3 linked regions of the Diceros bicornis minor genome follow. The protein of the gene in region 2 purifies or fractionates together with the protein of the main gene of each other region. This does not show direct contact. Links are inferred from orthologs where the notes say so. Each region holds a gene or a part of one and is shown on either strand. Other genes may lie near its edges.

Region 1 (7,521 bases), on a different chromosome or scaffold from region 2:
GGGGAGGGGAGGGGAGGGGGGCGGGACAGAGCCAGGCGCCACTCTGCTGCCTCCAGCCAAGGAGACCCACCAGTGTCAATAATACTAATGATAATTCAAAATTGAGTGCTCACCAGCTGTCAGGCACTGGACATGAAATAATACAACCTTATGTGCGGAGTCCTGTTATCTGCACTGTTTTACAGAAAAGGAAACTAAGGCACAGGGACACCTAGTGACTGGGCTAGGGTGAGTGGCCCAGCACAGAACTTAAAGCCACTGACCCACTGGCTGTGGGCGTCAATGCCAGTGGGTGCCCGTGCCCCCTAGTCCCTGGATCAGGGTGGGGTGGGGCCTCCCGCACCTGGCCGAAGGAGCCTTTGCCAATGAGGGAGTCAATCTCATAGCGCTCCAGCCAGCGCTCGCCACTGCGCACGATGTAGTCATGGTTGTCGTCGTCATAACCGTGGTTCAGGACCTTCTTCTCCTTCTTGGTGCTCGAGTCCTGAGGTGGTGCCTGCTGGGCCCGCCGCTTCTTCTTCGCATAGTATACCTGCCCAGCAGGGGGGCCGAGATAAGGACTGGTGAGTGACCGTGCCAGCAGCCAGGACCCCGCAGCACCCAGCCCGGGCCCCCCACCCCCGGCCCACCTCATTGATGTGCTTGTAGGTCTTGATGAGGTCCACGGAGAGCTTGCGCAGCGGGGCCGAGGTCGCGTCCCGGAAGGCCAGGGGCAGCCTCCGCGGCAGCAGCCGCACATCAGGCAATACCTGGGGGGCGGGGTGGGGGTGGACACTGAGGACAGGCCTTTGCCTCCCACCTCAAGGGGGAGAACTACATGGGTGGCTGGCTCATCATTAGCACGCACATGTTTACTTGGTCACTGTCTCACAACCCCACAGAATGTCAACTCCCCAGGGGCAGGGACGTCGTCTTGTTCTTGCCGCAGCTCTAGAGCCTGGCGCGGGGCCTGGCACGCAGGGGGTGTCCATGAGAGACTCGCTGAGTGACTGAAGGGTGGACTCTTCACCCCTGACCTTTCATCCCACACCTCACTCCTTTCTGAACCTCAGTGGGAGAGATCAGATAGGAAACCTGGGCTCTGCCCCTCCCAGTCCTTTGGCCTGAGACTGGCCACTCTGGGTATCCCATCTTGAGAGGCCCCCATCTTGTGGGCCTTCCCAACCCTCACCCTCACCTCCTCTGTGCATCTTTGCCAGTTTTTTCACCCCAAGGGTCTTGGATCTGCATCCAGCCCCCTGGACCTCCCACTCCATCCCACTTCAGGCTCTACACATCAGAACCTTAACAGTCTCTGCCCTTGAAGGTCTTGACCCTGTACCCTCAAGCTCTGCTGACTCCAAGACCCCGCAGGCCTAGTCTTCCTCCACTTTCACGCTCTCCAGATCTTTCACTCTGGACTTTTTTTGCTTGGTGAACATTTATTGAGTGTCTACTAAGTGCCGGGCACTGTTCTTGGCACTTGACAGGCATTTCATTAGCTCATTTCATCCTCACAACAATCCTGTGAGGGAGGTATCGTTACTGGTCCCATTTTACAGTAAACTGAAGCATGGAGAACCGAAGTCGTTTAACCACCATGTGAGGATTTGAACCCAGGCTCTCCAAACCCTGACTCTGCCAGCAACTCCTCTATTACCTCCCACTCTCCTAGGGCCCGTCATGTCCCCAGGAGACTGTCCTGGGCAACCACATTATCTTTTGGCCCCCTTCTATTCCCATCCTCCCCCTACCCCAGGCAGGTGAGGAGCCAGCTGACCGCGTACCTGCGTGTGCTCCTGGGGCCCCGGGAAGCCAGAGAAGGGACCATGGCCCGGTGGGATGGCCATGGTGGGCTCAGAGGGCCGCAAGGGAGTGAGGCCTGGAGCGGGAGCCCGGCCGGGGGGCGCCTTCTCGCATCCTGCACCTCGGCTGCCACCGCCGCTGAGACCTGAGAGCAGGCGGGAGGCAGGGGAACAACAGAGAACAAGGGGATGTGTGGGACAGTGCCAGGCGGGAAAGAGGTGGACATCAGAGAGAAGACAGGGCACAGAGGGAGGAGAAAAAGGGTGCAAGAGAGCAACAGGTGGCAATGAAGAGAGGGGACAGAGAGAAGTGGCGGGGGGGGAGGGGCACAGCGGAGTCCCTCAACAAATGATTACCGGATAAATGAAGTAAGTGGCATAAAGAGGGGGACATGTGAAGGGAATGATTGGGAGCCACGCAGGGATATGGGTCATGACAGGAAAGGACAGAAAGATACCAACAATTAGGGGAAGGAAGAGAGGAAAAAGATAGAAACCACAGACAGTATAGGGAGTAGGGCTCACTCTTTTCTTCCCATTTCTACTCCTAGCCCTTCCCAGGGCCCCTCACACAAGATGCTGCCCTCCTGCAGTCCTCCCTGAACCTCAGGATCTCATTTCCTGTCACAGCAAGGTCCCCCCACTCCAAGATCTACCCTTCCCTGTAGGTACCCCAATCCAGAGAACTCTAGGATCCTCCCCAAACCACATGAGAGTCCTCTGGGCCCCCTCCAAACCACAGCAGAGTCCTCTGCAGGCTCCTAAAATCACAGCAGGGTCCTTAGGGATCTCCTGACCACACCAAGGTTATCTGAGAACCCTTATACATTGGAGTCCCACCCCTATGGCACTCTCATCCACCAGGGCACACCATTCCCAGGGGACCCTCCCCATATCATGCCAAGACCTCTTCCCTATATCATTTCCTCCCACATCAGGGACCACCCCTTCAAGTAGTTTCCCCATACCATATTCCAGTTCCCCAAACAGGGCTCTTCCCCACATTACTCCAAGGTCCCCCTCCCAATCAAAACCTACTCCTCCAGATGGGAGCAAAGGGGAGGCGTCTCTTCCCACGCTGGGTTTAGAGTACTCGGCCTTCTCAACCCTACACTGGACCCTACTCCCCTCCCCCTCCCCCAACATTCCTACCAGGGCCCTTTCTCCAGTCCCTCCTCTCTTCGCCAGGGTCAATCCACAACTGTGCCCATTCCTAGAAGGCCCCCATAGCCAAATTCCCCAAATATCACATAGAGGTCTCCCCTCCCAGAGTATCTGCCACTTCTCCCATGTCAATCCTCCTCCTATGCCAAGCCTTGCCACTCCACGACCCCTCCTCTCTCTCGGAGCTCCCCCACCAAAACAACCTCTTCTCCGGGGCCCTCCCACACCAGGACCATCTCTCCCAGCCCCCACCCCCTACCCGGGTCAGGGCTGGCGCGGGGCCCACGGGGGGCTGGGGCGCGGTGGGGCCCCCAGTGGGGTGGGCGAGCGGCCAGCATGGCGGCGGTGGCGGCGGTGAGGAGACGGCCGCCTGTCCCGGCCCGGCCGGCCCGGCAAGCCCCGCGGCGGGGAGGGCAAGCGGGACAGGCGGCCCGGTGGGTGACAACAGCAGCCGCCGCCGCCGCCGGGGGCGGGGAGAGGAGGGGACGAGGGTCAGCCCGGGGCACGCGGGGGAAGGAGAAAGCAGGTGGACGGGGGAGGGGCGGGTTAACCCTCGCCCCGCCGGCCCCGCCCCTGGGGACCCCGGCGTCCCGCCCCCCACCCTAGAGGCCCGCCCCGGCCCACGGAGCCCCAGCGGGCGGGGCCGGGCTGAGTTTGGCAGTCCGCACCTGCCATGGCAACAACCGTGCCATTGGTCGCTGCTGCCAAGAGCTCAGCCAATCACAGCCCAGGGCAGCTGTTGCTAGGCGACGACGAAGCGGCCGGCGGTGCCGAGCCCAAACAAAGGGCGGGAGCGGGGCCCCGCTACCCCCTCCCGGCCTCCTTGCTAAGACTGCTGCCTCGGGCTCGGCCCCTTCCAGGAATCCGACTATGAATAGCCGGGCACGGCCTGCACCTGCCCGCCACCCCCCTCCTCTCCTCCCTCGGCCTCGTGCTGAGTCTCGCAGCGACGCGGGCAGGGCGGGTCCCGTACTGCCCCCCCTCACCGCGAGCGCGTGCCGCCCCGCCCGCAGCCGCGTCGTTACCTGAGGGCGCGGGCAAGGGGACTCAAACTGCTCGGGAAGCCCGAGCCCAGACCTGCCCACGGGCTGAAGGTATCCGGCGGACGCGGCGAGCCAGGGCCCCGATTACCCAGTAATGCAACCAGCAAAATGGCGACCACAACAAACCGGCCCCCCCAGCCTCGGGCTCCGCCCCCAGCCCCCCCATCTGTCCTTCTCACGTGACCCAGGGCAACACACCGCGCCTGCGCTCAGCGGCGCTTACCGCTGTACATGCGCAGTGAGCTACCAACCCCGCCCAAGCGCCGACAGCCGGGTTACGGCTGCGCAGGAAGCCGCTAGGAAAGGAGCATGCGCTGTGTGACCGGAGGCGCACTCCACCCCACCACTCCGCAAGTTGACCAAGGGCGCATGCGCCTTGTCTTGAGAGGCCGTCAAGCCATCAGCAGCAGACAGGAGCGACGGATGAGTCTTTTAATAGAAAACACACGTATTAACAGTAGCAACACAATCTCGCAATCCCGATGGCGCTGGGCTTCAGTTCTTCACCTTGGGGGGTGGCCTGCGAGAGGAAGGAGACGAGGATATTCAGAGCCTGTCACCACTTTGGGGCACTCCAGCACTACCTGTGCGGCTCCCCCAGCGGGGACAGAGATGTCTGTCCTGGTGGATCCCGGGCCCCTGCTCACCTGTACACACCCACGACCACGGCGTGGTCTCTCTCGTACGGCTCCAGGGTCAGCTGCTCCTGGGGCTTCATGTTCTCCTGCTGCATCTTCTTCACCTCAGAGGCAAACACGGCCTCGGCCGAGGCGGTGGAGTCGATGCAGTTGGCCTGCAGAGGAGAGAGGGTCTGAAGTCTGTGGCAAGGCTGTTTTCCCTGTTCTGTGCTTTTTAAACCAGATGTATTTCTTTTTATTGGCAACTCAGTGAAACTCAGGTTTTGGAAATGTAGGGAAAGACTTCCTTAGAGAAGTTTTCAATTTGGTTTGGACTTGGAAATAGGAAGCCTTCAACAGAGCCCTATGGATCTACAAGCCAGTGTTTAAATTTTACACCGAGGAGTTTTTTCGTCTACTTCCTCTTCTTTAACAATAGTAACAATGCAGCTGAGAATACAAAAACAAATGTCACAAAAGGCCAACAAATGGTGAGAATCTGGTTGAAGGATACACAGGCGACTTCTCTGTATTTCAAAATAAAACCTTTTTTAAAATGCACCTAGCATGGACCTAGAATTTATTTTATACCAGGGTCTGTTCTAAACACTTCATATATATTGATAAATTGAATCCTTACATCAACACTAAAAGAGATAGGACTAATATTTCTATTTTACCAGTGAAGAAACAGGCACACAGGTTAAGTATCTTACTCAAAGTCACTTAATTCAAGCTGGAATTCAAACTCAGATGGTCAGACCCAGCGATCATTCACGTGACCACTACATTCTATTGCATTTTTAAATCCAAAGATTTTTAGTTTTGAAGATGTTCTTCATCATGTGCTATTTGACTTGGGGCAGAGGTGGCTTGTAGGGAGCTGGGTAGGGATAGAGGCTGGGAACAGACTGACTGGATTAAGAGGGGTGGAGACCCCCTTGTAGTGACTGGCTGCTTGCCAGTTAGAGAGCGAGAAAGATACTAGCACCCCATCTTAGACCCCTCCAAGCCCCCGCACCTTAATGGAAATCACAAAGTGTCCTCCATTACGCAGGAAGGTGTGGGCATTCAGGGCTACAATCCGGGTCTGGTCTGGCTGGGCCACGTCGGCAAAGATCACATCCACCATTGCTAGGGAGAAAGAAGCGGCAGTTAAGAGCCAGATCCACTGGATCTTCCCAGCTCCTCTCGTGGGGCCTGCGCCCCATCACCAGCAGGTTTCTGGCAAAGTCTCCTGCCTCCAGTCTCACTTACCCCCACTGATCCCCCTCCCTCCGCGGTGCCTCCAAGATGGGTCCAAAACCCACAGTCACACCATTCATTCATTCCTCTTGTAAATCATGGTTGCCACCTACTCTGTGGCCAGCCCCGGGCCGGGCGTGGGGGACACAGAGACGAGTCAGACCCGGACCCTGCCCTCGAGACGCTCCCGGGTCTGGGGGGGGAGACAGACATGTCATCAAAAAGGCAAGTAAAGGTGAGCACTTACAGGCAAGAGTGTCTGCAGGTTTGTCAAATGAAAACAAGTAGTAGGACAAAGGATATGGTATGAGTGCATGGAAAAAAAATGCACAGAAAGAAAAACCAGCAGAATACAACATAACATTTTTAAGGCAGTGTGATTTAAAAAAATAATAACTTAAAAAAAGGAAAAGATGATGTAATGAAAACTGACTTTTTTAAAACTGGGAAAAGCAGACATCAAATTGTTATCAGTTACCTTTGGGGGTAGTTTATAAGGCCTTCCATTTTTACATTATGCTTTTGAATTTCTTAAAAAACAAAGTCATTAATATTCACAGTGGGCCCCTCCGGGCCTCAGTTTGTGCTTCCTGGGTTATGCTCTCTCCAGGTGATGAGGAGGACCTCTGAAGAAGGCTTTTCTACATAAGCCAGTGTAAAAAGCACCAGTACCAGGAAGTACGGGGGGCTAGGGAGAGGGGCAGGAGATTGGAGGGAAGGAGGCTAGCCGTCAGACATCTGAGACCCTGAACTGGGACCACCACCTCCACAAACTCAGCTGGCTCCCCTACCCTTTGCACCGCTGCAGATGCAAGAGGCCTGCTCATCCACTCAGCTCCATCTGATTCAGGGCTCTGGCGGCCTCTTCCAGGAAACCTGGAGTGGCCTGTCCTACCCTACCTGGGCCAACCCCTGGACCCCTCACCGATGAGCATGCGGTATTTGTGCGGGTGCCGAGCGTCTTCAATGACAGGAATAATGTTGGTCCTCTTCTTGGCCAAGTTAATGAGGTCACGGCCGGAGCGGTGGGAGAACTCAACTGCATAGACCAGACCGTCCTAAAATACATCAAATAATAACATCAATGATACCAGTTCTCATGTATCGAGCACCTACTTTGGGCCCATTCACTGCACGCAGCATCTCTCCAAATCTCCAAATCAAAGTCCTACCATTTAACAACTATTGTTATGTCCATTTTTCAGATGAATACACCAAGGTCCAGAGATGTGAAGTCACTGGCCAAGGGTTATTCAATTCCACTTTGCCTGATCGGAGAGCCCAGGCCCCAATACAGGCTTAATACCAGGAAGCTAGGGCACAGAGATGAAATCTAACAGCTAAGAATATCTGCAGTGGGCCAGGCACTGCTTTAAGCACTTTACGGGAGTTAACTCCTTTAGCTTCACAATAACCCTATTTTCCAGAGGGGTAAACTGAGGCCCAAAGAGGTTAAGTAACTTGCTGAGAACCACTTCACTATTAAATGCCTGCCCCAGAGCCTGGGGTTTTTCACCACTAAATTACACAGCCTATAGGTATGTAGATGAGCTGGGGGTCATGAAGTTGAGACCCACGGGGGCCCTCTAAATAGGGAACCGGTATAGCCACACAGAAATGCAGGTCCAGAAACTGAGACCTCCTGTTCTTTCAGGAGAAACCAGGAGA
Region 2 (8,333 bases):
ATTTGCTTTTATTTTATTTTTGTGTGTGTGAGAGGAAGATCAGCCCTGAGCTAACATCCAATGCCAATCCTCCTCTTTTTGCTGAGGAAGATTGGTCCTGGGCTACACATCCATGCCCATCTTCCTCTACTTTATCTGGGATGCCGCCATAGCATGGCTGGACAAGCGGTGAGTCGGTGCGCGCCCAGGATCCGAACCTGCGAAACTTTGGGCCACCGAAGAAGAGCGCACGCACTTAACCGCTGCGCAACCAAGCCAGCCCCGGAGATTTGCTTTTAAATGATCCCATGGAAGTGGTGGTGGGGATAGATGAAACAAAATTGGCCATGAATATTGAGTGATGGGTAACTGAGGGGTCCATTATATCAGTGCTCTCAAAGTTTAATGTCCATACTAATCCCTTGGGGATCTTGTTAAAATGCAGGTTCTGATTCAGTAGGTCTGGGTTGCTGCCCAAGATTTTACGCTTCTAACAAGCTCCCAGCTGCTGCTGATGCAGCTGGTCCTGGGACCATACTTTGAGTAGCAAGGCATTATACTATTCTCTTTACTTCTCTGTATATTTGAAATTTTCTGTAATAAAAAATGTTTAAAATAACCTTGGAAGCTCTTTAAAATGCAGACCCTCAAAATTATGATTCAACGGGTCTAGAGTGGGGCCTAGGAATTATCAAGGCCCCCAGGGGCTACTCATGCAGATGGCTTGCAGATCAAATTTTAAGAAACAAATTAGAAGTGCAACCTTTATCTTTGAGAAACAGAAAATCAGAAATACAACCTTTATTTGGTGTCAGGATCTTGGTGGTGGTAGTGGCTGAGAGGTGCAGTGTAGTCAGCTGGGTTTTACCCTTTTCATCTGTGGAATTTGCTTCCTGAGAAAGAAGGGGTGTGAAGAATCTTTGTCCTCTGGGATAGAGATGGTGAATGTGGGAATCAGCACAGATCCCTGCCATGCCAGGTGAGTTCGAAAATCAGGCTGGGGATTAAGGGAGTGTGGGATGAGTTGGCTTCTGTTTTGATGATTATAATCACACTCCATGGGGTCACTGTATACTTCCTTGCAGGTGGGAGGTAGAGACAGATGAAATCGTCCTACAACGGCGGCAAAAGCAGATAGATTATGGCAAGTGGACACCTGGTTACCAGTGCTTTCTGCAGCAGGTCCTCAAGTGAGTGCAGTTGTGAGTGGTCACAACAAGAGCATCAACCAAGCAGCTTTGGTTCAATGTCAGGTGATGGAAAGATACTAGAATCTGAGTGCTCTCACAAAGTTGCAGCATTACTAATACGAATTATCCTGCTGGGCCGGCCGTGTGGCTTAGCGGTTAAGTGTACACGCTCCACTACTGGCAGCCCAGGTTCGGGTCCCGGGCGCGCACCGACGCACCGCTTCTCCGGCCATGCTGAGGCCACGTGCCACATACAGCAACTAGAAGGATGTGCAACTATGACATACAACTATCTACTGGGGCTATGGGGAAAAAAAGGAGGAGGATTGGCAATAGATGTTAGCTCAGAGCTGGTCTTCCTTAGCAAAAAGAGGAGGATTAGCATGGATGCTAGCTTAGGGCTGATCTTCCTCACAAAAAAATAATAAAACTAATTCTCCTGCAATTTAGCCCCCAAAATAAGTTTCCAAGATTTTTTCAAATAGAAGAAGCCATATACTTGGCCCTTAAGACTTTTTAAAGCTTTATCCATGTTTGCTAATGAAGTTTTTTCCTTCTAACCATTTTTATCTCACGCCGCCAGCTGACTTGGCTAACTGCAACATATTTGCCTAATTACATGTAAGTTTACATGCATACCTTCAAACTAAATATATGAAAAGGTAGAATGCATTTTAAAGGGATATCAAATACTGTCTTATATATCTATCTTGACTTCTGAGGGAGTTGGAATATCTAATTTATCCTTCCCAGAAGAAAGAATATTAGGGAATTAGGAAGTTTGGTGTTTAATATGATCTGAAGATTTGGTTTTTCTGTTGGATTGATGGCATTGATCCTACCTCATTCTCAAGGAATTCCCTAACGAGTCTCCTGATTCATTGTGATGAAGCAGTGTGTTGTGCCCCTTCACCTTGACCTCAGTCTAACACATATTTGTCATTGCCAGAGCACAGTGACAGCCAGGACTTCACCCTCAAATGCCAAACAAGAACAGGAGGTACAGCTGTTGCTCTTGGGATGCCCAGATCAGGCAGTGGAGAAGAGCCCTACATTCCTGGGACCCCCCTAGCCAGCCTCTGCAGGGAGGGAGGCTGAGGGGTGTGTGCATTATTCCTGGTTCCTTCTGTGAGTGGTGGACTGAGCCCTACCTCTCCCCACTTTGCAGACGTTTAGCTTTCACTGGTTGAAAAGGGAGTCTGAAGGAGGTGTGTGTTCCTCTGACTCTGCTGCCTTCCTAGGCAGGGAATGGAGAGTCTCTTAAATGGATTTCACTCCTTTGGATGACCTCCTGGATGACTGGCTTCAGACTCTGGAACCCTCAGAGAATCTTGATGGAGACCAGAAGGGAGCCCAGGTAGTGTCCTCTGCTGAAACCCATTGGAGCAGCATCAGAGCGGGGTCTGGCCCATGAGGACACAATTAAGATGTGGTTCAAGGTAGTAGCCCAAGGGCCGGCCCCACGGCTTAGCGGTTAAGTGCGTGCGCTCCGCTGCTGGCGGCCCGGGTTCGGATCCCGGGCGTGCACTGACACACCACTTCTCTGGCCATGCTGAGGCTGCGTCCCACATACAGCAACTAGAAGGATGTGCAGCTATGACATACAACTATCTACTGGGGCTTTGCGGGGGGGGGGGGGGGAAGGTAGTAGCCCAAGAACAAAAGAAGGAAAATGGGGCAGCAGGAACAAATAGCTAGGACATGAGTAAGAAAAGCCTTGAGAACTAAAAGTGGCATAAGGAGATTTAATTATAGTTAGTAATGGGGAGGAGGTTGGGCTGCACTGGGGGCTATTTTATACTTGGTGAAAGGGGTGTAATCTTCCTTTGAAATGAGGCCTGAAACCTGACTTGCAGGTTTGGTTAAGTGTCTCAGTTTCTTTCAATGTTTTGCAAATAAGCCAATGCTAACTTCTTATACTCAATCATTTAACTTTAGTAGGCATGGTTAATAATAAAAAGGGGGATCACCTTGCAGTGAAGACCAACAGCTTTAGAGCCTGACTGCTGTTTTTTTTTTAATTTATTTTATTGATGTCTTAATAGTTTATACCTGTGAAATTTTGGTTGTATATTTTTGTTTGTTGATCACCATATACATGTCTCCCTTCACCCCTTGTGCCCACCCCCTACTCCCATTGCCCCTGGTAACCACAATACAGTTTTCTCTGTCCATGTGTTGGTTTATATTCCACATATGAGTGAGATCATACGGTGTTTGTCTTTCAGAGCCTCAGACTGCTTTTTAATACTACCTTTGTCCACCACATGGGCAGTCACTTAACCTCTCCAGCTATTTCATCTGTCAAATAAGGAGATTTTGTCTCATTTGATGATTCTAAGCAAAAATGAGCATATATATTTAAAGTATGTAGCACGGTGCCTGGCACATAAATGCTCCACAACAGCAGTTATTGGAAGCCATGTCTCCTGTACTTCATGCCCCCCCCCCCCTCCTTCTTTTGCTAAAGGGCAATGTGCAGGGCAAAGAAATGTGCAGTGCATCTTCCCTCCATCCCCATTTTCTTCATAACTACCTCACTTTCCCTCTACTCTTCTTTTTCAGTTTGCAGACTTGGTGGCTCCTGGCTCTGTGAGGAAGATTCCCACCACTGGCTCTACTTTCTAGCTGATCAGTTACTTATCTGTACCAGACTTGAAAGGGGAACAAAATATTTAGGGAAAACAGATGTCTTTCAGGGGACTTGTTGCTAAGTGTAATAGTGAAGATTACTTGCATTACTGCTACTTTCCAAACGATTAAAAAAGAAATCTAAAACTCTGCCCTACAAAGAGATCACAACACGAAGGCATTGTTTAAAACCTCTCCTTTTTCCATCTTTTTGCCCGTCTTTCTAAACCTTCTTTGATAGCTGAGACTCAAGTTTACATAAGAGCCAGAAACCATCTAGCTGTTCCCCAACCTGTTCACCTACTAACTTCTTCAGTCTCTTCAAAAAGGACTTAAACTCTGGCTGAGGTGGGAGGTGATGGTAGTAGTGGAGATTTAATAAAAGGTGGTTTCTTCTTCCTGAAGAGGAAATATAGGGCCATCAACATCTTTTCCCCATCTGCCTGTTTCATCCCTCCCTTTCTGTCTTAACGAAAGAGGTCCAGCTGTAACCACCGTATTCCTCCCGCCCCGCCCCCCCACGCAAGCAACTGAACCGCCTATGATGTCATAATCACAATCCCATTACCTCATCCTGCTGGGCAGGGGGGTTGGGGTGCGTAGAGGGAGGAGGAGTGAACAGCCCTGGGCCCTCCTCAGCTTTACAAAGTGTTTTGGGTGAAGGCTAATTACAGAACCCAGTGGGAAAGGCCCCGCAACCGTTATGAATCCTGCGTTTATAAGGTTCCAGCCGATCCGGCAGCTAGAAGACGGGCTCCTGGGACTCTGAGCAGGCCTTAATGGGCGCTTGGACTACACTTCCCAGAAGCCTTCACGCCGCGGACAGGTCCTCTGCTAGGGGTAGGGGGATTCCTTTAGAGAGGCGGCCGTACAGGGTGGGACAGGAGAGCAGTGAGAGGAACCTTGGCTAATTCTATCATGCTACCCGAACCGAGCAGGGGGCTGTACTTTGGCCCACGTAGGAATGGAGGGCGGGGGCGATGGCTTTGTTTACCTTCGTCCGACACGGCTCCCCCCGCGGGTTTCGAGACATGTCTCCAACTGGGCCCGTCCACCTTCTGCAATATTTTGGAGGGGGTGACTCGATAGTGAGGAAACCACCCTCGTCCCTAAATCAAAGAGCTGGGCTTGTTCCCCACAGCGCTATCCAAGAAAGACTTTGAGACAGAAACGACGCGGGGCTCGAGCCTCCGCGGGCGGTTCGGGGGGATTCTGTGTACCGGAGAGACTGCCTCACTCTCCTGAGGGGCCCGTTGGTTCGCGCCAGCGCCTTTTAAGGGCACCGTGGGGCGAACGGAGCGCTCAGAGCTGCTCTGGCCGCGGCCCTGGGAGCTGGAGGAGCCGCGGTAGGTGGCGGAGGGCAGGTGGCGCTGGGGCCTCGGGGCGGGCACCTCAACCGTCCCTCCCTCCTTCCCCCTTTCCCCTCCCCCAGCCCGGCCGCCCGCGCGGCACGGCCTCGCAGGCCGCCTCCGCGGGGAGAGCACGGGACCCGGTGGGGGAGGGGGTGGCGGAGTGCTAAGTCCCGGACCCTCTTCATCGCCGGCGTCCTGAGTTCGCTTCCCGCGGCCAGATGATGAAAGCTGATTGGGAAGAGGCGAGCGACAGCCTCATTGAGCGAGCCCTAGCCCGCCCCCCCCCCCCCGCCCCAGGGGCCAGCGGACGCCCCATGCCCCACCCCGCGGGGACAGGCAGGGCAGCCGAGGGTGAGGTTGAAGATTGGAGGGGGGCCTAGCCTTTTGCTTCTTCATCGAGATGGGGGGAGGGAGTGCTCCCCACTTGTCACCCCTATCCCGGCCAGAGCCATATGGAGGAAGAGCAGTCAGGTCCCCACTTACCTGTTCCTGCACCTCCCTGCCTCCCTCATGTTTTCCTTAAGTCTCCCCCAGAGGTGTGGGGCTGGGACCTGCGGGGAATGTCCCCAGGGGATTTGTGACTCTCCTCCCCCTTGGCCTGACTTGATCCTAGGTTCTCCAGCTTTCAGCACAGCCTCAGCATCCCTAAAACCCGAATGTCAGGAGTTACTGCCATCCAATAGGATATGGGGTGGGAGCCCAATATTTATTTTAGGGGGCTAATGGTGGAGAGAAAACCTGGATTGAAAGTTGGGCCTGGTGGGGTTTTGGGGAGGGCCTAGCGGCCTGCTGCTCTATGAAGGGCTGAGCCCGGTGCCAGTTGTTGAGCTGAGAAGTTTTAACTTTTTAGTGAATGTTCAGGGCCGTTTCTGCCCCTCAGATATACAAAATGGAAGGGGAAGGAAGGCGGCAAGAGAGGGCTTCTTACACTTTTTTCTATGCTTGCCTGAGAAAGAGGAGGCCCCTCGCGGAGCTGGTTTGCCTTCTTTTGTGTCCTGGTTTGATTCCTTATGGCTTCCGTTCTGTTCCCCCTCTCAGCCTGGCCTGTTTTAGGAAACTCAGGCTGAGAGTATGAGTTGTGTGGTGGTAGTTGTATTGTTCCAGTTACCACCGTGTGTGGCCACATCCCAACAATTAAAATGCAGAAAAATACAAAATCACTCTCTTCACTTGATCCCAGAGAGAGCTGGGAGTTTGCTGTTTGGCCAAATGCCTCATGAACAGCTTGAAAGAATTTGCTTCACTCCCTGCTCATGGCTGGTCAGCCTGAGGCCTAGGGTCTCCGGGGTAAAAGCCTGCAGTTAGGTTCCCTCTCTGGTTGCTCTTTGAGGGCAGAGTTAAGAAACCAAGAGCAGAAGTGATATAAGGTTTAGCTTCTCCCACAGGGACATAGGGGAAGCAGTTGAAGGGAGCTCTCAGGAAGCTGGAACTTGGTTCAGGGTGGTAATAATAATTATGCGTGACAATGGTAGTTAACTGTAATGATGATTGACTTTTCTCACACCTTTTTTCAAAAAAACTCCAAGTACCTCCACGTGTATTTCTTTGCTCTTCCTTATGGCCTGCCTCCCCATGAGGTGGGAATGGGGCAGAGATGATCCCTCCTTTTTGCAAAAGTAGAAAGTGATCTGCCCCCAAGGTCACAGAAGAGCCTTTTTGGGTCTCTCTTGGTATGCAGATCAGGGAGGTGGGCATCTAGCCAAATAGATAAACTTGGACTGCCTTCTTCATCTTAATGATAGCATCACTTGTGGCATTCTGAGGCTTTGTAGAGCAACAAACAGGAGGGTTGAGAAATGGCAGTTTGTGTGGACTCCTGATTTGTACAGATCAGATGGTATGCTTTTTACATTTTGATATTTTATGTTTTATTGTCCCTGTGACAGATTATTCTGCCCATTCTACATATGGGTAAACAGGTCAAGAAAGGTTAAATGATTTGACAAAACTGTCACAGCAAATCCGATCAAGATTTAGGTTTCTTGATAGATTGTTCTCTCTACTAGCAAATGCTACATACACTCTCTGGTGAGCTGTCTGCTTGCTGATCATTGCCAATTTCTGGGAATTGGCAATACTATATCGAAACACTAGGTTAACCTCTCCTCCTCCCTTGAGCATGGCCCCTCAAGCAATTGTGTGGGCTTGAAGCCTGTTCTCTGATAGAAGTAGTTTGCTTCTACTGTAATTGACTGTGAGAAAGAGTCTTGATTAATTGTATCCATGGTCTTTGAGTCAGATCAGGCTAAAAACTTAGTTGAGTGAAGTCATAGAGTTGTTTTTAACATCTATGGAGTTGAAATGTAACTGGAATTACCCTGGTACCATTTCCTTATCCTCTCACCATTTTTAAGAGAATATATACAGTATCTCTTGAAAACAATAATATATCAACTGTTCAGGCTAACAGAGAACATAAAACCTTGTTTACTCTGATTGGTCTGAAGCTGAAAGTCATTCCTACAACCACTGCTCCTCCCTGTTCCCTATTACTATTTCTGTAGTTTAGGAAAAAGGTACCTCTGTTTGCTTGTGCCTGGAAGATAAAGACAATATTGGGCTAATCAGGATAGAAGTAACCATTTGGGCATCCCTCTCTCTCATTTGAGCTGTTTTTGAAGTGCTGGTATTCTGGGTAGACAGAGCAGAGCATGAACCAGGTTAGGAGCAGCAAATAGGTTTCAACTTGCTTGCCAACTCCAGTTCATTTTAGTGGTTATCTGGAGTGCCAAGTTCAGAATGTTTCTGAAGCTATGTTTAGGCTTAGCAGGAGAGAGCTGTGATCAATTAATGATGTCTGCCGGAGGCCTGGCATAGGGATGCTGTGGTATGTATGCCATGCATTTTCCATCTCTGGACCAGGTACATCTCTAATATCACTTGGGGCTGGTCCCTCTGTAATTGGCAGACTCAGCAGGCATGACTGGAGAGGGAAGTCCCAATGGTGCTAGAATGGTGCTGCAGTGGCAGAAGACGGCTCACGAGTGAGGTCTGGAAGAACGACAGGGAAGACATCCATCATTTGCTCCAAAGTGTGCAAGTCAAATCCTGGGGAGAATCATGATAACCCTGATCACTGAGCAGCTACAGAAGCAGACTCTGGATGAGCTGAAATGCACACGCTTCAGCATCAGTCTGGTAAAAGACCAGTCTTTCTGCTTCTCCACAAACCCCCCCCCTT
Region 3 (7,947 bases), on a different chromosome or scaffold from region 2:
AAATTACTGATAAGGAATACAACACAACTATAAGACTAATAAAATTTTGGGAGAGAAGAGCCAAGTTCGTTATTAAAACTTTCTGGAAGTTTTTGGGGTTTGCTGGCTTCAGACGGTTAAGGTTTTTCCTTGAGGAATAAAAGAGAAATTGCTTGGGGGTGTGAGTGTGGATCTAAGAAATGTGAAAGTTCTTTAAAATAAAACAAAACCTAATGCTAAAGCAAAGAAAAACTGACACACACCTAATCATAAATACCAAGAAAGTCACAAATGAAGCCATCTCTCCTATTAATCTTATTTTTAATGTCACGTATAAGGCAATTCTCTTCTCACTCATAATTAAGTTACTTCTATCCAAATTTTCTTCCCATAACTAAATTCTCGCCAACCATAAACATGCATGTGAAAACATCCCTGGGCAGTCTAAATTTCTACGCTATTTTTTATTTAAAAAAAAAAAACTTGTTTTCAAGTAGTAGCCAAGATTCAATACAAATTAGCATTTTCTTTTTTTGTAGTTTCAAAATAAAATACACGCCAAAGGTCATTCTATATTATGTGTTATAACAAGTTATCCTGAATTTTGCTTTTGCAGATAAATATTCATAGCACTATAAAAACCTATGTAAACTCCCTAAATACCATTTGGTGCACTTACCACTCCACACCCCCATATCTTTAAGTCACAAACACAGTAACTCTCCATAAATAAAACTAAGGGGCAGACGTCAGATAATATCCTAGAGGAGAAAAAAATTCTAACCAAGGGTCTTTTTCACTATCCACATTCCCAAACCAGACATTGTATTAAAATGGGATATTTTCATTTAATTCGAATGTTAGTGACCCTAAAAGACTGGACTAACTCGTTCATTTTTGAATCCTCAGCACACAGTAATTCTGTATGTTTGTTAAGTTTCTAATAGGTCCCACCAAAATATCTTTAAAATATGTTTAAGAAATGATCTTATACCCCAATTCCGAATTCCTAACAATAACAAAGATCTCACTAGATCACGTAGTCTCTCCCACCCCTACCAATAATGATCATTCATTCATTCAAGCCTGTTTGTTCAAATCTAAAATCTTTTTTAGATTTTAAAGGAGTGTGCCTTCACCTTACAGACACGGGGGTGACCCTACCTTCTAGAATAATTAACTTCTGAGCCTACGTCTCTTATCAACTGTTTATAGTCAGTTTTACAATACAACTTTGTGTAGACATTGACAGGAGTCCTTAACTTTGGCAAAATTTGAAGTTTAGACGAATCTGGACAGCCACCATAAACACCACTATTTCAAGGCAAATCCTCCAAAAACACTGGGGGTACCTGAAGTCTAAGTCATACGTATATTAAACATCTTAACTATAATCAAGTAAACTTTTGTCTTAACTGCTGCTTCTTTGAAACTATCTTCTTCGGTTTAAAATCTTAGCACATGAAATTTTAGTTCTAGTCTCATGTTTATAGTCTATCTGAACATAATATTCTCTCAAAGTAACTAAACCACCAAGATATGAGAAATATAACAAAAAAGCTAAAGGTAATTCCACTGAATTATTAAAATGTCACGAAATGGAAACTATTAAATATACCCATTCTTAAGCACTTTGCATATGTAAAGTATGTAAAGAAGAAATCTAAGTATTCAAAGACAAAAATGACTAATAATAACTTTACGCAAAACTTTCTTATGACTCATCAATACTTAAATGACGCCTATAATTAAAATTAAGTGTGAAGAACAAAACGCACCAAAGAATATTTTTTAATTCCTTCCATTCAAAAACTGTCTCCCTAGTTGGGGGGTGGGGGGGCTGACAAGTTTCATTAAGAGGGCCTCATCTCAATCTTTCCTTTCCACTTCCAAAAACCACAAAGTTAATCCCACGCTAACCACTATACATGGACACAATCTCTAGGTTACAACCCTGAGTCATTACGCACAGATCACTCCAAAATCCGCCAGTATTTATAATGAGTTATAACCTAGTGATTAAGAGGCCAGGCTGACTGCAGACTCCTGGCTCCTGGAGTCCCAGCTGTATGACCTTGGATGAGTCACAGCTCAGTTTTCCCATCTGTACAATGGGTAACAATTCCTACCGGTAGTATGAGCGAGTTAATACACTTGAAGCCCTGAGAACGAGTGCCTGGCATTCTTCGTCCTCATCTCCAAATCGGTGTGAAAACAATGCTATAAGGTGTATTTTCTGACAACTTGGGCGGAATTCAAGAACCAAATGGTGCTGGCATTTAAGTGCCGCACCTAGATTACAAATTTCCTATCATCTAGGGCCGGACGAAAGGCAGAGACAAGTACTTGGAGTCACTCACTCACTAACCGTGCCATTTTTAACTATTGCAGCCTAGGGAGGGGCCTCTCTCTAAGCGAGAGTGGGCTTGTGCCTGTAAAGAGACTCGTCAAGTTTCGTGGCAATATCCAGGTATCCATTATAATTTACGCATTCCCAGCCACCAACTCCTCCGGCTGCTAAAGAGGTCATGCCTCCCTCCCGAGCGGCCGGGCTGCCTCGCACTCGCGGCACAACTTCGGAGCACGCCGAGGGCCCTCGCCCCAGCACACAGCCCAAGGGCCGCGGGGGGACCGGGCTCGCGACCTTCCCCGGCGCCTGGCCCAGCGGCCGGCCCCATTTTCTTAGCCCGTGCATTGTCCTTGCGGAGAACCCCGGCGGTTCCCACACTGGTGGGGACCGAGAGGAGGGACGAGGGAGGAGCTGGGGGAAGAGGATGAGGAGGAAGAGGAGGAGGAGGAGGAAGACAACCTCCTCCCCTCGGCTCGGGCGACCAGTGAAGGTCTGGCGCTCTCTCCGGCCCCCAGGCCCCCGCTCCCACCCTCCGAACTTTCCCTCCGCTTGCACCCGCCTCTCCTCCGGGACCGGGCCCGGCGGGCTCCCTCCCCGGCGGCCGGCCCCGGGCCGCGGCGCCTCCTCCTAAAATGGCAGGTCCCTCCCTCCGCCCGGCCAGCCTCGGCGCGGGCCCGGCTGCAGGCCGCGGGGGGAGCCGAGCGCCGGGCCGGGCGGGGCCGCGGCCGGGCCGGACACTCACCGGGACGATGGCGGGGCGCTCGCGCCGCTCCCTCCGGTGAGTCTCAGCCTCGGGCTCCCGCCGCTGCGCTCCGCCGCGGCCTCCGCAGCCAGCGCCGCCCCGGCCGCCTCTCTCCGCCCCCGGCGCTCCCGGCTCGGCGGCCGCGCCGCAGCCTCCTCAGTCTCTCTCCGGCTCGCGGTTCCAGCGGCGCCCGGGGCCGGGGAGGCGACAGCCCCCTCCCCGGCAAATACCGCAGTCCCCGGACCCCGACTCCCGGCGGCGGGGCCGCGCGGCCCGGCCCGGCGCGGAGGGCGGCGGCGACGAGGCCGGGCGCCGAGTGGCGGCCGCTCCCGGCGGCTTCTTCCCGAGGAGGATTTTGTAAATCTCACAAAATGGCGCGCGCTCCAAACCTGCGCAGCGAGAAGCGCCGGGGCCCGAGCGGCGGCGGCGGCGGCGGCGGCTCCTCCGCCAGGAGAGCCCGAACCGCCCGCCCCCGAGTCCCCGCACAGACAGACAGACACTCACACACACACACACACACACGCACACTCGCCCGCGCACACGCTCACTCACACACACACTCGCACACTCACACCGGTCCCGCCCGCTCGCCGGCGGCGGCAGCGGCACCAACAGCAGCAGCAGGAACAGCAGCAGCAGAAGCGGCGGCGGCGGCGGCGGCGGCGCCCGCACCCCCCGCTCGGGGTGTCCGCTCCCTAAGCCCGACCTGGGCTGCGATCAGCAGCAGCGACGGCAGCAGTCTCCCCGGATCCCCCCGCCGCTCTTGCCGCCGCCACCCCCGCCTCACTCCAATGGGGCTTTTTATTATTATTCGGGCGGGAAGCGAAAGGGTTTAAAAAAAAACCAACCAACAAAATGGCGACGGACCGACCCGGTCGCTATAGCAACTGTCAATCAAAACGCAAAACCCCGGCTGACGTGCTGACGTCCTCCTCCCGCCCCCCCGGCCCCAAGCCGGCGGGCGGGGCCTGTTGCTCGGGCAACGGCAGATTCCGTTCCCTCCTTTCCCTCTCCCTCTGCGTCCCCGACCAACCACCCAACCCCCTCAGGTCACGTGAAGGATAAATTCGGAGCTCGGGCCCGCTACGAGTGTCAGAGGAGGGCGCGTGATTCGCTCGGGGGAGGGGAGAGGAGGGGGCCGGCCGGGCCGAGGGAAGGAAGGCGAAGGGGAAGGGGGGCGAGGCGCCTGCCCGGCCTGTGCGCGAGCGCCCGCGGCCGCCCGGCCGCGCCCCGCCCCGCGCCCGCCGCGCCCGCGCGCGCGCCGACTGCGGCCCGGGGAGCGCGCGCGGCCTCCGCGCCGTCGCCCCCGGAGCCCCGCGCTTCCGCGTTGTGCGCCCGCAGCCCCGCCCGCGCCGGGGGGAGGGGGCCCCGGGCGGCCCACCCCGCGCGCCCGGGCCGGGGGCGCTCACCTTGCTCCCTGGGGAGCGCGCTGGCCGGGGTCAGGCGGCCTGGCTGCGCACGTCCGCGCGTCTGAACTGTTCTTCGAAGGGCTCGCGTGCCCCCCTCGCCGGAAAATGCCCACGGAGGCCGCGGCTGGGGGTGGGGAAGCGGCCGCCTCCGCGTTTCAGACATCTCAGGAATTCCGGACGCTTCGCCCGAATCCGGGATGCCCCTGCGGCTGACACCTTGGCTAAATCATGCCGCTCGGTTTTCGTAGCAACCAATGCCAGCGTTCAGAAATCATGGACGGAGCCATCATGAAAACTTTTTAGGCTGTGCACGCTCTCCCAGGCTCTCCCAGCTATTTCAAACCCTTCCCCACCTTTCTGGGCGCAGCCTGCCTTCTCCATCGGAATGCCCCTGAAATTAATCCTCTTGAGCGGTTACTGTATCCTTGTCCAACTCCCTGTTTTTCTGTTTTTCTTTTTCATGCACCATCTCAGCTTCCAGATTCTTAATTCGCCCATTCTGGCTTTCGTTTATTTGTATTCAGTCTACCCCTTCTGCCTGGCTGAATATTGCTAGGTGTGTTCCCCAGGCATTAAAACCTAGGGATGCTAGTAGCCATGCAGTGCTGGCTACTTTGTAATGAGCGGACAGCCACTGGAAAAATTGTGTTTTGTACCTATGCTAATAAAATGGACTTTAATAAATGTTACGCTAAAAAGGATATATAGAGATATCATTTTACAGCAAGTCACTGATTGATTTCTAACCTTGATTTTGCCATCTTATGATAGTGTTCATATCAATTTTTTCTTTAGCTTGAGCTGTTCACAAATACAGTAGCAACAGATACAATCTTAGGTGTAGAGAAAAACACCACCATAACAAATACAGGTCTCTATCGTATGTTACTCAAGGAAAGACACGGCTTTAAATGATTTCCAACCAATGTTTCCCTCCTACAGTTATTAGAACATTGACATACCAAGGCAACCATTCAGACTAGCACAGGTCTTGAAAGAAATCAGAGTAAATCTAAAGTAAATTATGCAAAAAGTAGACTGGCAAATAGCTTAATTCTGACTGATTCTACGTGGTATCAAAAGTTGCCCTGTCAGAAGTTCTTTTGGATTTCTGCTTCAAAATTGCCCTGCTAAGGTAAAGTCTACATTCAACTTGATTGTTTCGAAGGAGGTGGCCAAGGGTGTCCCTACTGAGGTGAGAGATCTCTACCTTGATTCCTCCCAAGCTCGCTTCCACCTATGCAACCAACTCGTTCCTCCCTCCCGCTTCCCTCCTCCCTGCTCCCCGCCCCCACCCCATTCACCACACTTTCACTTCTATCAGATCAATTAAGGATTTGCAACCTTTAAGACTAAAATAAATTTGAGTCAAATTTTTGGTGGTGATAAGGAAACTGGCATAATTAATCTTCTAGGTAACCTGCAAAGAATATGACAATGTCTCAAGAAATGTACCCTTGTCTTCAGTCAAATCAGTCTAGAAGATTATCAGGGTGAGGCAGAATCTCCAGCTTGTAATCATGAAATAATAGAAGACATTGATCATATCTAGAAGGTTGCCCCCTTCCCTCCCAACTCCAACCCCCCACCCCCAGTGTGACAGCCTTACACAACATTGATCAATGAACTGTCATGTCCAGGTTGGAATGCTGTAAAATAGTTTTATCTAGGCTTCACCTAAAAAGTAACCTGTAAATTACGCTGCTCCAAACAAGTAAACACATGTAGGCAGGAAGGACTCTGGTACAGATGCCAGTTTAGTGTTGACAGGATTCAGTGATTAAATCCTTGCTGTCATCTGAGAATCTCCCTATCAGATCACTGACAGATGTGTTACAGATGTATCTATTGATAGAAGTTAACCTCTAAGAGCAAAGACCTGCCCAACTCACAGATAATAACAGCCTCCGCTTATCCAGTACATTCTAGCAACAGTATATACCCATTATACAGATGAGAAAACAAGTCCTGAGTAATTACTTTCCCAAGGTCACACCACTAGTAAGTGGTGAAGCCAAGATTCAAACCCGAGTGTAATTGCAAAGCCCATATTCTTTCCGCCACACCAAGATGATCTGGGATTATTTGGAAATAGAGTCTTTACAGGGATAATCAAGATGAGGACATTAGAGTGAGCCCTAATCCAATATAATTGGCATTTCCTTTTAAAAAGGAGAAATTTGGACACAGAGACAGACATTCACGCACGGAAGACTGTGAAGACACAGAGAGAACGCCATCTACAAGCCAAGGAACAGCTGAGGCTGCCAGAAGCTGGGAGAGAGGTTTGGAGCAGATTCTCCCTCACAGCCGTCAGAGGGAATCAACCTCACCGACACCTTGATTTTGGACCTCTGGCCTCCAGAACTGGGAGACAATACATTTCTGTTGTTGAAGCCACCTGGTTTGTGGTACTTTGTTATGGCAGCCCTGGCAGACTAACACACAGATCCAAGCCAAGATTCCAAGCCAAGCCAGGTTCTTTTCATTGGTTCCACATCTGTTCATGGCCACTCTTCGTGGTGTGCTATACTAAGCCCAAAAGTTCACTAGTTGGAACCTGGCTGGGAGTTATAACCCAAACATTCCAAGAACTAACCAAACATTCCACCAACCAATATCTCTGCCCTTCACATCAGGTGAGAAGGTGAACAATTTACAATTCATCCCTGGACAGTGACGTGGCTAGAATCTGACACCCTCACTCTTCTTACAGACTTCAGAGTAAAGGTCCTTGATTGCTCCCCTTGTATAAGCTTTATTGTTTGTTCTGGTTTTAATAGTAATTCATGTTTATCAAATTCAAAAGAAACAATAAATTAAAACAAGAGAGGGGCCTTGTTAAAACTGGCAATGGTAGCATGCTATGAATCAAGAAGTTAATACTCAGTTCTCTGCACCTGAGATCCAAAAACAAAATAAAAGTAATTTATGGTCATTACAAACAGTTTTACAATGTGGAAAGCAATAAAGAAGTAAAGATTATTCATAGGTATCACCCAGAGATAAACCTTATTAATATCTTCATATTCACATATATTCTTCTAGACCTTCTTAGACATGAGCACACGCACACACACACACAACACATATAGGTATGTTTTATGCCTTTTTTACTTACAATTGTGTTATGAACACATTTTTGTGTTAATCAACTAAAATTTAGATGATTATTCTAACAGCTACAAGTATTCCATCAGCTGAATGAGCCATAATTCAACTGCTTCTCCATTTTTCAAGGAAGTTTTCCTCTTTTTTTTTTTTGTTATTACAAGTAAAGCTACATAAATATCACATGTACACATTTTACACACCTGTCGTTATTTCCTTAGGATAAGGGCGTGCACCCTTAAAAAGCTTTGATTCATGTTGCCAAAATATCCCTCAGAAATGATTTCACCAATTTACGCTCCTAAAAGTAGTATGCGCAGGGCTGGCCCCATGGCCTAGTGGCTAAGTTTGGCATG

What was found.
Region 1: the proteins of FAM53C (region 2) and DYRK1B purify together in Homo sapiens (affinity purification with mass spectrometry; 3 studies listed by BioGRID and IntAct, counting the BioPlex papers as one, with this or other methods). This does not show direct contact. The link is inferred for Diceros bicornis minor from reciprocal best matches to the Homo sapiens genes FAM53C and DYRK1B.
Region 3: the proteins of FAM53C (region 2) and DYRK1A purify together in Homo sapiens (affinity purification with mass spectrometry; 8 studies listed by BioGRID and IntAct, counting the BioPlex papers as one, with this or other methods). This does not show direct contact. The link is inferred for Diceros bicornis minor from reciprocal best matches to the Homo sapiens genes FAM53C and DYRK1A.

The regions. Positions count from the first base shown.
Region 1 is NC_080773.1:13,603,019-13,610,539, forward strand, and holds the start of DYRK1B (dual specificity tyrosine-phosphorylation-regulated kinase 1B), read right to left. Parts: upstream 3,446-7,521; 5' UTR 3,287-3,445; coding exon 3,208-3,286; intron 1,931-3,207; coding exon 1,767-1,930; intron 750-1,766; coding exon 630-749; intron 533-629; coding exon 344-532; intron 1-343. Other genes in the region: FBL (rRNA 2'-O-methyltransferase fibrillarin), read right to left, coding at 4,487-4,511, 4,639-4,784, 5,630-5,742, 6,779-6,911.
Region 2 is NC_080740.1:56,906,719-56,915,051, forward strand, and holds the start of FAM53C (protein FAM53C), read left to right. Parts: upstream 1-5,088; 5' UTR 5,089-5,146; intron 5,147-5,531; exon of another isoform or gene 5,532-8,060; 5' UTR 8,061-8,212; coding exon 8,213-8,290; intron 8,291-8,333.
Region 3 is NC_080766.1:37,535,412-37,543,358, reverse strand, and holds the start of DYRK1A (dual specificity tyrosine-phosphorylation-regulated kinase 1A), read right to left. Parts: upstream 3,148-7,947; 5' UTR 3,072-3,147; intron 1-3,071. UniProt on the Homo sapiens protein: Dual-specificity kinase which possesses both serine/threonine and tyrosine kinase activities. Exhibits a substrate preference for proline at position P+1 and arginine at position P-3.